Linked DNA regions of Stegostoma tigrinum. Each later gene encodes a partner of the first gene's protein in a complex. Links are inferred from orthologs where the notes say so. Each region holds a gene or a part of one and is shown on either strand. Other genes may lie near its edges.

Region 1 (7,212 bases):
AAAATTTCACATTCATACTTCATTTGCTACATCTTTGCTCACTCACTTATCAATGTTTTTGTAAATGTCTTCACAGATTATTTTCCTCCTTATTTTTGTGCCATCGCATTTGGTAATCATATCTTTTGTCCCTTCATCTAATCAGTGATAGACATTATTAATGATTGCAGGCACAGCACTGATCGCTGTGGCACACCACTCATTACACCTCGCCAATCTGAAAACAACCTATTTACATCATCTCTCTGTTAGCCAGCCAATCTTCTACCCATGCTAATATGTTAATTCCTTTTACCACAAGCTTTTATTTCCCACAATATGGCACTTTATCAAATGTGTTCTGTAAATTAAAGCTCAGTACATTCAGTGACATTTCTTTTATCAACAGCACATTACTTCTTCAAATAACTAATAGATTGCTGAGAGACAGATTTTTAAACATTAAGAGAATCATGGCTTATGGGGAAAAGACAGGAGTGGAAGATTATCAGTTCATCCACGATCTCATTGAATGATGCAATAAACTCAATGTAGTGAACAGCCTATTTCTGCCTCTGTGTCTTACGGTCTTAAGATTGGTTAAGTATGATCTTCCTTGCAAAAAGCCCTGCTGATTGTGTCTGACTACCTTGAATTTATCTAAGGGCTTTACTATAACTTACTAACTGATAACATTGAACATCTTCCCTCTCTTTTTCATTAAGAGAATAATAGTAGCTATTTCAATCTCATGGGACCTTCCCACGTCAGGAGTATTGGAAAATTAGAACCAATGCATCAATCACCTTTCTAGCTATTTCTAAAACTGAGAACAGAGTCCAGCAGCACCCAGGCACTTGTCAGCCCACGGTTCCAACAATTTACTCAATAACAATCTCTGGTCATTGTCATTTCCCAGAGTTCTTCCTTCCCTCCATTTCCTGATACATCGCTGCTTCTGGGACGTTACCTGTCACCTCTATAATGAAGAATGAAGAATTAAATAAATACTTATTTAAACCATCCGCCATTTCCTTATCTTTCATTATTAATTATCCGATCTCACTTCCCGAAGGACCAAAATACTCTGCCAGCTCTCCTCATTTTAAGTAGTTATAGAAACCTTTACTTTTGTTTTTACATTTCCAGCCAGTTTTCTTGTGTGGCAGTCTAGGACGGATTTTGATTCTTGACACAGTCCTTTGCACTTCTCTCAGACTAGCCAATGCTTTCCCTGTCACCTCCCATTAAAAGTAAACACTTGCACTATGTCTCACTCCCAAGTTAATCTCTCAGGATTAACTCTGGTCGGAATAACGAAATGTACAGCACATGATTAAATGACCTGTCATTTTCTTACTAATACCTACGAGCACTCCAGCAAGAGATGGAACTATAGATGACATCCCACCAATTCTCCTTGTCAAGGTCAAGACAACCAAGTACAAAGATCCATATAAATGCACAAATGAGAATAGACCACTTGACCCTATCAGCCTGCTCCACCAAGCTGATCTGATTTTAACCTCAACTTTACATTCCTGTATGACCCTGATATATTCATAACTACTAAGATCATCTACCTCTCCCAAAAAATATTTAAAGATTCTGCTTCCATTATCTTGAGGAAAGGAAGTCCAAAGATGCTCAGCCCTCACAAAAGACTTTAAGAGCATAGAACAATACAGCGCAGAACAGGCCCTTCAGCCCTCGATGTTGTGTCGACCTGTGAACTAATCTAAGCCCCTCCCACTACACTATCACATCATTATCCATCTTATCTGTAGGCAAATCATTAATCTTGAACCATGACCTCCAGATCTAGATTCTGCCACAGTGAAAACATCCTTTCCATATCATCAGGGTCTTATGTTTCAATTAGTCACCTGTGACTCTTCTAAACTCCAGAAGATGCAGGATTTGCCTGTCCAGCTTTTCCTCACCAGGCGATCTACACATCGCAGATATTGGTCAAGTGAACCTTCTCTGAACTGCTTCCAAAACATTAACATTCCGTAAGTACAGTGACCAAAACTGTACACAGTTTTTCAGATGTGGTATCACCAGTGCCCTGTGTAATGGAAGCATAACCTTCATACACTTACATTCAATTCCCCCTCACAATCAAACATGACCACAGTTTTCCCAATTACTCACTAATTCCTGTGATTTCTGCATCAGGACATCCAGATTCACCCGGCCCACGCTGTTTCTTTGGAAACTATCCATCTATCTGTGGCTCCTGAGATGCTGCTTGGCCTGCTGTGTTCATCCAGCCTCACATTTTATTATCTTGGAATCTCCAGCATCTGCAGTTCCCATTATATCTGTGGCTTGTTCCTGATGAATTTTCTGGCTAATTACTACAATTTGTACCGACCTAGACACTCTTCTAGCTCTACTGCTTTCTTTACAGGCTACACTCTCATTCATTTGTAATAATGGGAGAAATTAACACGCAAAACATACAATACTCGCAGCCAACGATACCCAACACTGGATTTATCTAACACCCTATCTGGTAGCTGGATGAGGATCTTTACCTCCTTTCTCTGACCCACAATATCTTCTGCACCCCTATAACTCCTCCAATTTTGAAACATCTGTTCACACAATGCACCCTTCCAGAGCCACCACCTCCTGGAGTTCCTCCACTAGCCCCTCAACTTCCATCTTTCAATTCTGACCAGTCTCCAACCTATTCCTCCCCTGCAATTCCCAGTGCCTGTTCCTCAACCTTCTTGTCTTCAACCCCACAAACTCCTCGCCCCCTGACCCCCCGGACCCCCGTCCCGACGCCCCTCACCTCCAACACAGGCCAACGCCGCCTTAAAGCTGCAGCTCTCCATCGCTCGTTCCACCATTTTCTGTTCATCCGATTTAACTGGCGCGGGAATCCCGCCAAGCGCAGCTGGGTTCAAGGCCCGAGGCTGCCGTTGCTCCCCTACCAGGTGCTGCAGGAGCTGTGAGTAAATAAGCCCGGAACCGGGCTCGGGCCGAGAAGAGGCTGATGAGCGAGCCTCCGCAGGCGCCATCGTGCAGCAGGCCGCTGTCATGCGTCATCACGTCAGCGTGAGTCACGATGAATCCCGCCCCACTGGCTGAAGTCCCCGCCTCCGGGACGGGGTGCCCCGTCTCCGGGCTGACGTCCCCGCCTCCTGGACGGGGAGCCCCGCCTCCGGGCTGACGTCCCCGCCTCCGGGCTGAAGTCCCCGCCTCCTGGACGGGGAGCACCGCCTCCGGGCTGAAGTCCCCGCCTGCTGGACGGGGTGCCCCGCCTCCGGGCTGACGTCCCCGCCTCCAGGATGGGGAGCCCCGCCCGTTAGCGGAAGGAATGTATCAGAGATAATGGGAACTGCAGATGCTGGAGAATTCCAAGATAATAAAACGTGAGGCTGGATGAACACAGCAGGCCAAGCAGCATCTCAGGAGCACAAAAGCTGACGTTTCGGGCCTTGACCCTTCATCAGAGAGGGGGATGGGGAGAGGGTCTTTCACAAAAGCTGACGTTTCGGGCCTCACATTTTATTATAGCGGAAGGAATGTGACGCCTTCGGCCAAATTTGTTCCCTTCTGGTGTTTTTATTCTCCAGTGAAGATGAAAGGCCCTCCGCCTCTTCCTGTCCCGCAGGCCCAACCAGCCCCCCTCCACCGACACCCTCATCCGCCTAGCTGAACTCGTCCTCACCCTCAACAACTTCTCTTTTGATTCCTCCCACTTCCTACAGACTAAGGGGGTGGCCATGGGCACCCGCATGGGCCCCATCTATGCCTGCCTCTTTGTAGGTTACGTGGAACAGTCCCTCTTCCGCACCTACACAGGCCCCAAACCCCACCTCTTCCTCCGGTACATTGATGACTGTATCGGCGCCGCCTCTTGCTCCCAAGAGGAGCTCGAACAGTTCATCCACTTCACCAACACCTTGCACCCCAACCTTCAGTTCACCTGGGCCATCTCCAGCACATCCCTCACCTTCCTGGACCTCACTATTTCCATCTCCAGCAACCACCTAAAAACCAATATGCATTTCAAGCCCACTGATTGGCACAGCTACCCAGAATACACCTCCTCCTACCCACCTTCCTGCAAAAATGCCATCCCTTATTCCATATTCCTTTGCCTCTGCTGCATCTGCTCCCAGAATGAGGCATTCCACTCCCGTACATCTCAGACGTCCTCGTTTTTCAAGGACCGTAACTTCCCCCCCCTCAGTGATCGAGAATGCCCTTGACCGTGTCCTCCGCATTTCCCGCAACTCATCCGTCACACCCCCTCCCAGCAATAAAAACCAAAACAGAATCCCCCTCATCCTCATGTACCACCCCGCGAACCTCTGGATCTAAAGCATCATCCTCTGACATTTCTGCCATCTGCAATCTGACCCCACCACCAAAGACATTTTTCCCTCCCCACCCTTATCTGCCTTGCGGAGGGACCACTCTCTCCATGACTCCCTTGTCCGCTCCGTACTCCCCTCCAGCCCCACCACACCCGGCACATTTCCCTGCAACCGCAGGAAGTGCTACACCTGCCCCTACACCTCCCCCCTCACCCCCATCCCAGGCCCCAAGAAGACTTTCCACATTAAGCAGTGGTTCACCTGCACATCTGCTAATGTGGTATGCTGCATCTGCTGTACCTGTTGTGCCTTCCTCTACATTGCGGAAACCAAGCAGAGGCTTGGGGACAACTTTGCAGAACACCTCCGCTCAGTTCGCACTAAACAACTGCACCTCCCAGTCACGAACCACTTCAACTCCCCCTCCCATTCCGCAGACAACATGTCTATTCTGGGCCTCCTGCAGTGCCACAATGATGCTGCCCGAAAGTTGTAGGAACAGCAACTCATATTCCGCTTGGGAACCCTGCAGCCCAATGGAATCAAATGGACTTCACAAGCTTCAAAATCTCCCCTCCTGCTACCGCATCCTAAAACCAGCCCAGCTCGTTCCCGCCTCCCTAACTTGTCCTCCCTCCCACCTATCCTCTCCTTCTACCCCAAGCCGCATGCCCATCTCCTTACTACCAGCCTCATCCCCGCCTTCGTGACCTGTTCGTCTTCTCTCCACATATCTGCTCATCTGTGCACTTTCTATCACCACCTCCCCCCCTCCCCCTCCCTACTTATTTCAGAGCCCCCTTCCTTTCCCTCATTTCTGAAGAAGGATCTAGGCCCGAAACATCAGCTTTCCTGTTCCTCTGATCCTGAAATGGATACCTCCTCCTGACCTCTTCTGGACCATGATCCAACCGTGGAATATCAGGCTATTACATCCACAATGGTCACTGATCTCAACTCAGTCCTAAATCTGCTGACCCTTATTTTGAGGCTATGCTCCCTAGTTCTAGTTTCACCCTCCAGTAGCAATAACTTCCCTGCTTTTATCAGATCCACTCCTTGCATAATTTTATATGTTTCTATAAGATCCTCTCTTATTCTTCTTTATTCCAGTGAGTGCAGTCCCAGTCTACTCAATATCCCCTCATAAGGCAATCTTCTAAATTCCAGAATCAACTTAGCGAAGCTCCTCTGTACCCCCTCCACTGTCAGTGCATCCTTTCTCATGTAATCAGACCAAAACTGTACGCAGTACTCCAGGTATGGCCTGACCAGCACCTTATACAGCTGCAGCATAACTGCCTTGCTTTTTAACTCCATCAACCTTTAGCAATGAAGGACAATATTCCATTTGCCTTCTTAATTACCTGCTGCATCTGCAAACCAACATTTTGTGATTCATGTACAAGGACATCTAGGTCCCTCTGCACAGCAGCATGCTGCAATTTTTCACCATTTAAATAATAGTCTACTTTGCAGTAATTCCTACCAAAATGGTTGACCTCACAGTTACCAGTACTGTACTCCATCTTCCAGACCCTTGCTGAATCACTTCACCTCCCTACCCCCTGCACACTTTCAGTGTTCTCTGCACACTTTGCTCTACTACTCATTTTAGTGCCATCTGTGAAATTTTACACACCACACTTGGTCTCCACCTCCAAATCATCTATGTAAATGGTAAACAATTGAGGTCCCAACACTAATCCCTGAGGCACACCACTAGCCACTGATATTCCCACTCTTTGATTTCTGTTAGTTAACCAAGTGGCTGTCCTTGCTAATGCATTACTCGTAATGCCATGCACCTTCATCTAATGCAGCAGCCTTTTGTGCTATATCTTGTTGAATGCCTTGTTGAAATCCAGAAATACCACATCCTGGGGAATGGGGCTGAAAAATGGCAAATGGAGTTTAATATAGATAAGTGTGAGGTGTTGCAGTTTGGGAAGTCAAGTCCAGGTGGGAGTATCATGGTGACTGGTAGGGCCTTAAGGAGTGCAGTGGAACAGAGGGACCTTGGAGTTCAGGTGCACGGTTCTCTGAAGGTAGAGTCACAGGTAGACAGGGCAGTGAAGAAGGCTTTTGGCACACTGGCCTTCAGTCAGAGCATTGAGTGTAGAAGTTGTAGGTTAGATGCATATGAACATGACATTGCTGAGACCGTACTTGGATATTGTGTTCAGTTTTGGTCACCTTGCTATAGGAAGGATGTTGTTAAACTGGAAAGAATTCAGAAGAAATTTACAAGGTTGTTGCCAGAACTCAAGGGACTGAGTTAGAGGGAGAGTTTGTACAAGTTAGGACGTTTATCTTTAGAGTGTAGAAGACTGACGGAGGATCTTATAGAAGTGCATAAGATCATGAGAGGCATGGATAGGGTGAATGCACTCAGTCGTTTTCCCAGGGTTGGGAAATCAAGGACTAGAGGGCTTCAGTTTGAGTTAAGAGGGGAAAGAACATATGGCAATCTGAGGGGCAACTTTTTTACATAGTGGGTGGTACAAATATGGTATGAGCTGTCAGTGGAAGTGGTTGAGGCGGGTATATGAACAACATTTAAAAGGCATTTGGATAGATACATGGATAGGAAAGATTTAGAAGGATATGGGCCAAGTCCAGGGAAATGGGCTTAGCATGGATGAACATTTTCGTCGGCATGGACCAGTTTGGGCCAAAGGGCCTGTCTCTGTGCTGTAAGACTCTATGACTTTCTCTAACTCTATGACCAGTTCCACAACGTCCACTGCATAAAAAAAAACATTTTCCAAGCCAATATTAGTTATGGAGAAGAGCTATTGGACTCGAAACATTAACTCTGATTTCTCGCCATGGATGCTACCAGGCTTGCTGAGCTTTTCCAGCAATTTCTGTTTTTATTTCACCATGTGCC
Region 2 (7,630 bases), on another chromosome or scaffold:
AAATTCAACTACCTGTTTAAAATGCCAGGTGATGTAGATATTGAGCTGGGTCTGTTGATTTTCTGTTACACATCAGCTCCCAACTGATGCCGTTTGATTCGCTGGAAGTTGGAAGGAATCACTCAATCTGTGCACGCAAGGGTAAGTGAAAGAATTAGTGCCAGGGTGACACTGGGAGCAAGAAACTAACTCTGGTCAGGAGAGCCAGTGTTAGTCTGATTCAGTGGGTCAGGGATAACAGAATTTTCCAAGTCCCCTGGTACAATTTCAGCAATGTTACTTTGGCCCTCTGATGCAGGCAGATTCACATTTGATTTCTGCACAACCTCTGCAGCTTTTGCCTCATAGTCAGAGATTCTTCTTTGAACAATGGTTGGCATGAGCCGGACGTAGGAACTCATTAACCGATGGTTGGTGTGGATCAATTTACCAGCACAATTGTTGATGCAATTCTCCTAGAAAGAGAGGAAACATATTAAAGCACATTCCGTTCCAGAGCATACCATCAACAAACTGTGTCATATCGTACAGACACCTAATAGGCCGCACTGTCAAAGGGTCATGAGTAATTTGTCAATATCTCTGCAATTTCCACTTTCCCTTCCATATCCTTGGCATACATTGTTTTTTAATTCTCTTATGAGGTGTGGGTGTCATTAGCTGGGCCCAGGATTTATTGCCCACCCATATTTGCTCCTCGAGATGGTTACGGTGTGCTGCCTTCTTGAACTGCTGCAATCCATGTGATGTAGCTAGACCCAAAAAGCCCTAAAGGAAGGAATTACAGGATCTGACCCAGCAACACTAAAGGAACGGCAATATATTTCCAAGTCAGGATGGTGAGTGTCTTGGAGAGGAACTTGCAGGGTATGGTGTTCCCATGTATCTGTTGCCCTTAATAAAAATGAAAAGAACTGCGGATGCCACAAATTAGGAACAAAAACAAAGTAGCTGGAAAAAGGTCCTTCTGTATGGAAGTGGTCATGGGTTTGGAAAGTGCTGTCTGAGCAACGCTGGCAAATTTTTGCCATGCATCTCAACTGGTCTGGTGACTTCTCACTGCCAACAGTGTCTTGAATACCAGCTCCTTATTAACCTTAAACCCTTTCAGTGACTGAGATTTTGTCTCTGTCACCATGTACTGAGCAGCACCTGCCCCTTAAGTAAAGATAGCTGCAAAGTATTTATCTAACACCGAGCTACATCTCTTGGTTCTAACTGTAATAGCCCATTTTCATCTCTGGTTAATCAAAGGGTGAAAGATTACTGGGGATGGAGTAATGATATGAGCCAAGAAGGAGGGTCAAAATGATCCCTTGTTCCTGATTTGTGTGATGAGGTTCAAAGAGTCAGAGAGGTCTCAGCACAGAAAAAGGCTCTTCAGTCCATCAAGTATGCACCAGTCAAAAACTGTCACCTAATTATTCTAATCTAGGATTTGGCCCATTCTCTTGCCTGTCCTGGCATCAGAAGTGCACATCTAAATACTTCTTCAATGTTAAAGCGGCTTCTGCCCTTTCCATCCTGACAGACTGAGTTCCAGATTCCCATCAACCTCTATGTGATATTTTTCCTCAAATAACCTTTAAACTTTATGGCTCTTCCCTTAAATCTACACATCTGCTCATTGATCCCTCCAAAGGGAAAATTTCTTCCTGTCTACCGTATCTACGACTCTGATTATTGTATGCATGTCAACCACATCCACTCTCAATCTACTCTGTTCTGTTCTAAGAAAAATAACCCCAGTCTTTCCAACCTCTTTTCGTACAACTCTCTAGTCTAGGCAACATCCTGGTAAAATTATGTTTAAACCCTTTCCAGGGCTATCACATGCCTCCAATGATGTGTGCAGCTGGTCATCCTTGGATTTACCTCAGTCAATGTGATGCTCCTGTAGTTGAGGTTGGCCACACACTTGTTGAAGCAGGTTTCTGTCATTTTGTTATAGACCAACAGGAAGTCCCGCAGCTGAAACAAAGAGAGAGCGAGCGAGCTGGAGATTAAGATCACAGAGGAGCAGAAACAAACCCATACACCTACCCCTCCATATATGCCATTGACCTCCTTCCCGTGAAAACACAGATGCTAACACAGCCATTGCTGTCCGTAAATTTCCACGTGAGTGTATGATGTTGGGAGTGGGGGATAGGAATGAACGGATGTATTACTGAGGGGGTTTGTGCAGGACATAGACTCTGGGGGTGAGGGGGATTCTTAGTGAAGAGGGCAGCCACATGAGATTGGGGCAAGTGAGCTGGGGAGGGGTTAGAACACAGAACATAGAACATGACAGCACAGTAGAGGCCCTTCGGTCCTCGATGTTGTGCCGACCTGTCATACCGATCTCAAGCCCATCTAACTACACTATTCCATGTACGTCCATATGCTTATCCAATGATGACTTAAATGTACCTAAAGTTGGCGAATCTACTACCGTTGCAGGCAAAGCGTTCCATTCCCTTACTACTCTCTGAGTAAAGAAACTACCTCTGACATCTGTCCTATATCTTTCACCCCTCAATTTAAAGCTATGCCCCCTCGTGCTCGCCGTCACCATCCTAGGAAAAAGGCTCTCCCTATCCACCCTATCGAACCCTCTGATTATTTTATATGTTTCAATTAAGTCACCTCTCAACCTTCTTCTGTCTAATGAAAACAGCCTCAAGTCCCTCAGCCTTTCCTCGTAAGACCTTCCCTCCATACCAGGCAACATCCTAGTAAATCTCCTCTGCACCCTCTCCAAAGCTCCATATCCTTCTTATAATACGGTGACCAGAACTGTACGCAATACTCCAAGTGCGGCCGCACCAGAGTTTTGTACAGCTGCAGCATAACCTCTTGGTTTGTGGGGGAAATTGGAGGGGGTGGGGGGGTGAGGGAGGGGTGGGGGTGGGGGGGGTGAGGGAGGGGTGGGGGTGGGGGGGGTGAGGGAGGGGTGGGGGTGAGGGAGGGGTGGGGGTGAGGGAGGGGTGGGGGTGGGGGGGGGTGGGGGTGGTGAGGGCCTCACGTTGCGAATCTCCGGCTCCATTCTGTCTCGACGACCTTTCCCAAATCGCTTCCGGTGAGCCGCCCAGTTGTGTCGTCACTTCCTGGCGGTGGCCCGCCCTGGCTCCGGGTCCCTAGAAACCGGCTCAGGCCCCTCCCCGCCGAGAGACACCCGAGCGGCAGCCCCGGTAAGAGAACGGGGCGGGGGGAAACAAGAGGTCCATCCCATCCCCCCACCCTAACCCGTCTCCCTCTCCCTCCTTCCCCCTCCTCCCCGACGCCCCCACTCTCCTCCCCCCTCTCCCCCCCCCCCCATTAGTATTTGTGTGTCGCTATGATTTGTGAACTGCTGGGGAAGGTGTCTGTTTGACCAGGGAGTGCCCATCATACTCAGGACGGGTTGCTATTCTCAGTTGGTCAGTGTCACCCAACTGCCCACGTTGTCTTACCCACTGCTAGTGCAGTCCACCCCCTTGACCTGCTCCCATGGTATGAACCTGCCCTCTGTATATTTCTCCACCTCCTGCTGTGGTTTGCACTGATGTAGTTGCTGATCGTAGCGTGTATTTGGAGACTAATTCTCGCCCTGACCTTGTTGACATCACTCGATGTGTCTCACCTGCATACATGAACGAAAATTGTAGACTCTTCAAACATCAAACTGCGACACAACAAGCTGAGTACTGCTTGGATCACAATGTGTAACAGAGTACTCCCTCTGTGACATGCACACATCCTACAGCCTGTATTCAGTGCTACCACCACCGCCTCCCTCCTTGTCTCTGTAACCTCCTCAGGCCCCTGACACGTACCTTGTCCCTCCTCCTGTCACCCCATTTGTGGCTATTCCTTTAGCCTCTTCAACCCCACACATCAGTCCACGTAACAGGAATGCAGTTTGCCAACATCAGAATTCCTCATTGTTTATTCACGGTAAGGGTCACTAACTGTTGCAGTTCAGAGTCACTATTTATTCAGACTAGTAGCAGGAAACTATAAAGTGCTGTGTTAAACATGGTAACAAACAGGAGCAGGCCCTTTAAGCCTGCTGCATCATTCATTGTGATCATTGCTGATCATCCACTCGAGTCTGTGCGTGTTTTTACCGATCATTGTTTGATTCCTTTAAACTCGGGTACTATCTACAATTCCCTCTTTTAATCATTGTGTTTTTATTGACTGCTTTCGGTGGCAATGAATTCCACAGGCTCTCTACTCTCTGGGTGAAGAAATTTCTCATCTCGGTCCTAAATGACTTATAATGACTTAGACTGTGTCTCTTGGTCCTGGATTCCACACTTGTCATCCTTCGTGCATCCACCCTGTCTGGTCCTCTTTGAATTTTAAAGGTTTCAGTGAGATATTCCCCACCCCACTGCATCATCCTTCTGAAATCCAGGGAATAAAATCCAAACAGATGCAATCTTTCCTCCTACAACAAGGTTAGGTCACTTGGGATCCCTGGAGAGCTAGCGAATTGAATTCAAAATTGGCTTGATAGTAGGAAGCAGAGGGTGATGGTTGAGGGTGATTTCTCAGATTGGAGGCCGTGACTAGTGGTGTGCCACAGGGTTCAGTGCTGGGACCTTTTGTTATTTGTTATTTACATAAATTATCTGGATGTGAATGTACGAGGCATGATCAGTAAGTTTGCAGATGATACAAAATTAGGAGGTATCGTTGATAATGAGGAAGGTTATCAAAAATTACAGAGGGATCTTGATCAGATGGGGAAGTGGACTGAAGATTGGTAATTGCAATTCAATACGGATAAGTATGAGGTGTTGCACTTTGGAAAATCAAATCATGGTAGAACTTATGCAGTAAATGGTAAGGTCCTGAGGAGTGTTGTGGATCAGAGGGACCTAGGAGTACGAGTACATAGTTCACTGAAAGCCGTGTCACAGGGTAGATATTTGCATGCTGGCCTTCATTGGTCGAGGCATTGAGTATAGGAATTGGGACCAAAAACAAGTTGCTGGAAAAGCTCAGCAGGTCTGGCAGCATCTGTGAAGGTAAAAAGAGTTAACGTTTCGGTTCTGGTGACCTTTCCTCAGAACTGAGAAAGTTACTTAGTTCTGAGAAAGGGTTACCAGATCTGAAATGTGAACTTTTTTTTCCCCATCGCAGATGCTGCCAGACCTGCTGAGCTTTTCCAGCAACTTTGTTTGTTCCTGATTTACAGCACCTGCAGTTCATTTGGTTTTTACATAAGAATTGGGACGATCTGTTACAATTGTACAAGTTGTTGAGGCTGCACGTGTAGTATAGTTTTCAGTTTTAATTACCCTGTTATAGCAAAGACATAGTTAAACTGGAAATTGTGCAAAGAGGATTTATGAGAATGTTGCCAGGACTAGGAGGCCTGAGTTATTGGGAGAGATTGACCAGGATAGGAATTTATTCCTTGCAACATGGGAGAATGAGGGATGATCTCATTGAGGTGTATAGGGCATATATAGAATGAATACATTTAGTCTTTTTCCCAGGAATAGTGGGTTGAAAACTAGAGGATGTAGGTTTAAGGTGAGAGGGGAAAGATTTAAGAATGACTTGAGGGGCAACTTCTTCACGTAGAGGGTGCTGCATATATGGAATGGGCTTCCCGAAAAAGTGGTTGAGGCGGGTATAATGGCAACATCTAAAAACTTCTAGATGAGAAGGGTTTAGAGGGATATGGACGAAATGTAGGCAATTGGAACAAGCTGAATGGGCACCATGGTCAGCATGGACCAGTTTATGCTGAACGGCCTGTATTATTCTATGACTCTATAACTATCCCAGGAATTAATCTGATAAAGCTTTGCTTCATTCCCTCTGTAGCAAGAACATCCGTCCTCAGAGAAGGAGACCAAAACTGCACATAATACTCCAAGAGTGGCCTCACCAAGACCCTGTATTACTGCAGCAGGACATCCCTGCTCCTGTACTTGAATCCTCTTGTTATGAAGGCCAATATCCCATTTGCCTTCTTCACCTCCTGCTGCAACTGCATGCTTATCTACAGTATATCATGACACCCAGGTCTTGTTGAACATTCCCCTCTCTCAATTTCTTGCCATTTAGATAATGGTACGCCTTCCAAGTTTTTGCTTCCAAGTGGATAACCTCACATCTTTCCAAATTATGTTTCGACAACCATGCATTTGCTTACTCACTCAACTTGTCCAAGTCACACTGCTGCATTTCTGCATCCACCCACCCATCTTTGTGTCATCTAGTACCCCATTGTCACTGTGTACTACTCAGAAAAAGACCCATTTATCCCTACTCACTGTTTCCTGTCTGCTGTCATCGGTGGGGAGAAAAACAGAATTCATGCATCAAGTCCGGTATGGTGATTCTTCAGAACTGCACGGGTTGGACAAGTTTTACCATTCAACCTGTTTGGAGATGTTATTACACACTTCTGGAGCAGGTGGTAATTGAACCTGGGCCTCCTGGCCCAGAGGTAGGGACACTGCCACTGCATCACAAGACAGCCTTTAAAATGTTGGTTTAAATGAGATGGCTGAATCCCAACAGAGTGAGCCTGATATCCCCGTAGGCAGATTCATTTGTATAACGTACAGGAACAGGCAAAAGGAAGGAGTTGAGTGTTAGATGTGGGGTAGCAGTAATGTTTGGAGAAGACATTGTGGTATTGAAGAGAGAATAAGAGGGGCCAAGGCCCTGTTACAGGAGTTAATTTATAGACCTCCAAATGGACACAGATGGAGCGAAGCAAATCTGCAGGGAAATCACATGGAATAGCTTGGTAATACTTTCAGATTTGAATTAAACAAATATATATGGGGAACAATTTTAGAATAATTGGGAATGAGGGTGCTGAATTTATGAAATGTGCTCAGGAGAACGTCTTTGATCAGTGTGTTCTTGGCCCAATGAGAAACAATGCTGAATCTGGGTGCTGGCAAGTGTTTGGGGACGCCATTGTATCATTTAAATTCGGATTAGTAATGCAGAGTAATACTGGGTCAAGAGGGGATCAAACCAGTGTAAAGACTGACTGGAATGATTGATGACCTTTGAAAGACAAGTAAAATAGACATATGATTCTAAAGGGGGTGAAGAAGCAGACGCACCTCGGGGTATATGTGTACAGATCATTGAAAGTGGCAGGACTGATAGAGGAGGCACGTGTATGCGTATGAGTACAGCATATACAGTATTCTCTGTACAAGACACTTGTTAGACCCTCAGCTGGAGTAGTGTGTACAGTTGTAGACACCACATCATAGGAAAGATATGAACACATCTGCAGAAGTGATATATAAGAATGGTTCCAGGAACAAAAAACTTCAGTGATGAGGACAGATTGAAGAAATCGCAATTGTTCGACATACAGGTTGGAGTGAAGAAGGCTAAGAAGAGATATGATTAAGGTTTTCAAAACCATGAGGGAGCTGGACAGGGTATATAGGTTCCCACGCCCTGAAAAAATAATCCAGAAACGGAAGCACCGATATAAAGTGAGTTGCAAAACAAGTAAAGGTGAGGTAGAAACACAGTATTGACACAGTGAGTAGTTGGGTCTGGAATGCACTTTCTGGAAATGTGACGGAGACAGGTTCAAATGAGGCATTCAAGAGGCACTAGATGATTATTGGCTAGAAATAGTGCTCAAGACTATGGGGGAAAG

What was found. Proteins that work in one complex are often made in the same cells at the same time.
Region 2: timm22 (region 1) and timm10b share a complex: the UniProt entries of both Homo sapiens proteins name them as parts of the TIM22 complex. The link is inferred for Stegostoma tigrinum from reciprocal best matches to the Homo sapiens genes TIMM22 and TIMM10B.

The regions. Positions count from the first base shown.
Region 1 is NC_081380.1:48,970,392-48,977,603, forward strand, and holds the start of timm22 (mitochondrial import inner membrane translocase subunit Tim22), read right to left. Parts: upstream 3,070-7,212; 5' UTR 3,036-3,069; coding exon 2,786-3,035; intron 1-2,785. UniProt on the Homo sapiens protein: Essential core component of the TIM22 complex, a complex that mediates the import and insertion of multi-pass transmembrane proteins into the mitochondrial inner membrane. In the TIM22 complex, it constitutes the voltage-activated and signal-gated channel.
Region 2 is NC_081359.1:113,860,034-113,867,663, forward strand, and holds the start of timm10b (mitochondrial import inner membrane translocase subunit Tim10 B), read right to left. Parts: upstream 3,084-7,630; 5' UTR 3,032-3,083; coding exon 3,011-3,031; intron 1,972-3,010; coding exon 1,876-1,971; intron 456-1,875; coding exon 186-455; 3' UTR 1-185. UniProt on the Homo sapiens protein: Component of the TIM22 complex, a complex that mediates the import and insertion of multi-pass transmembrane proteins into the mitochondrial inner membrane.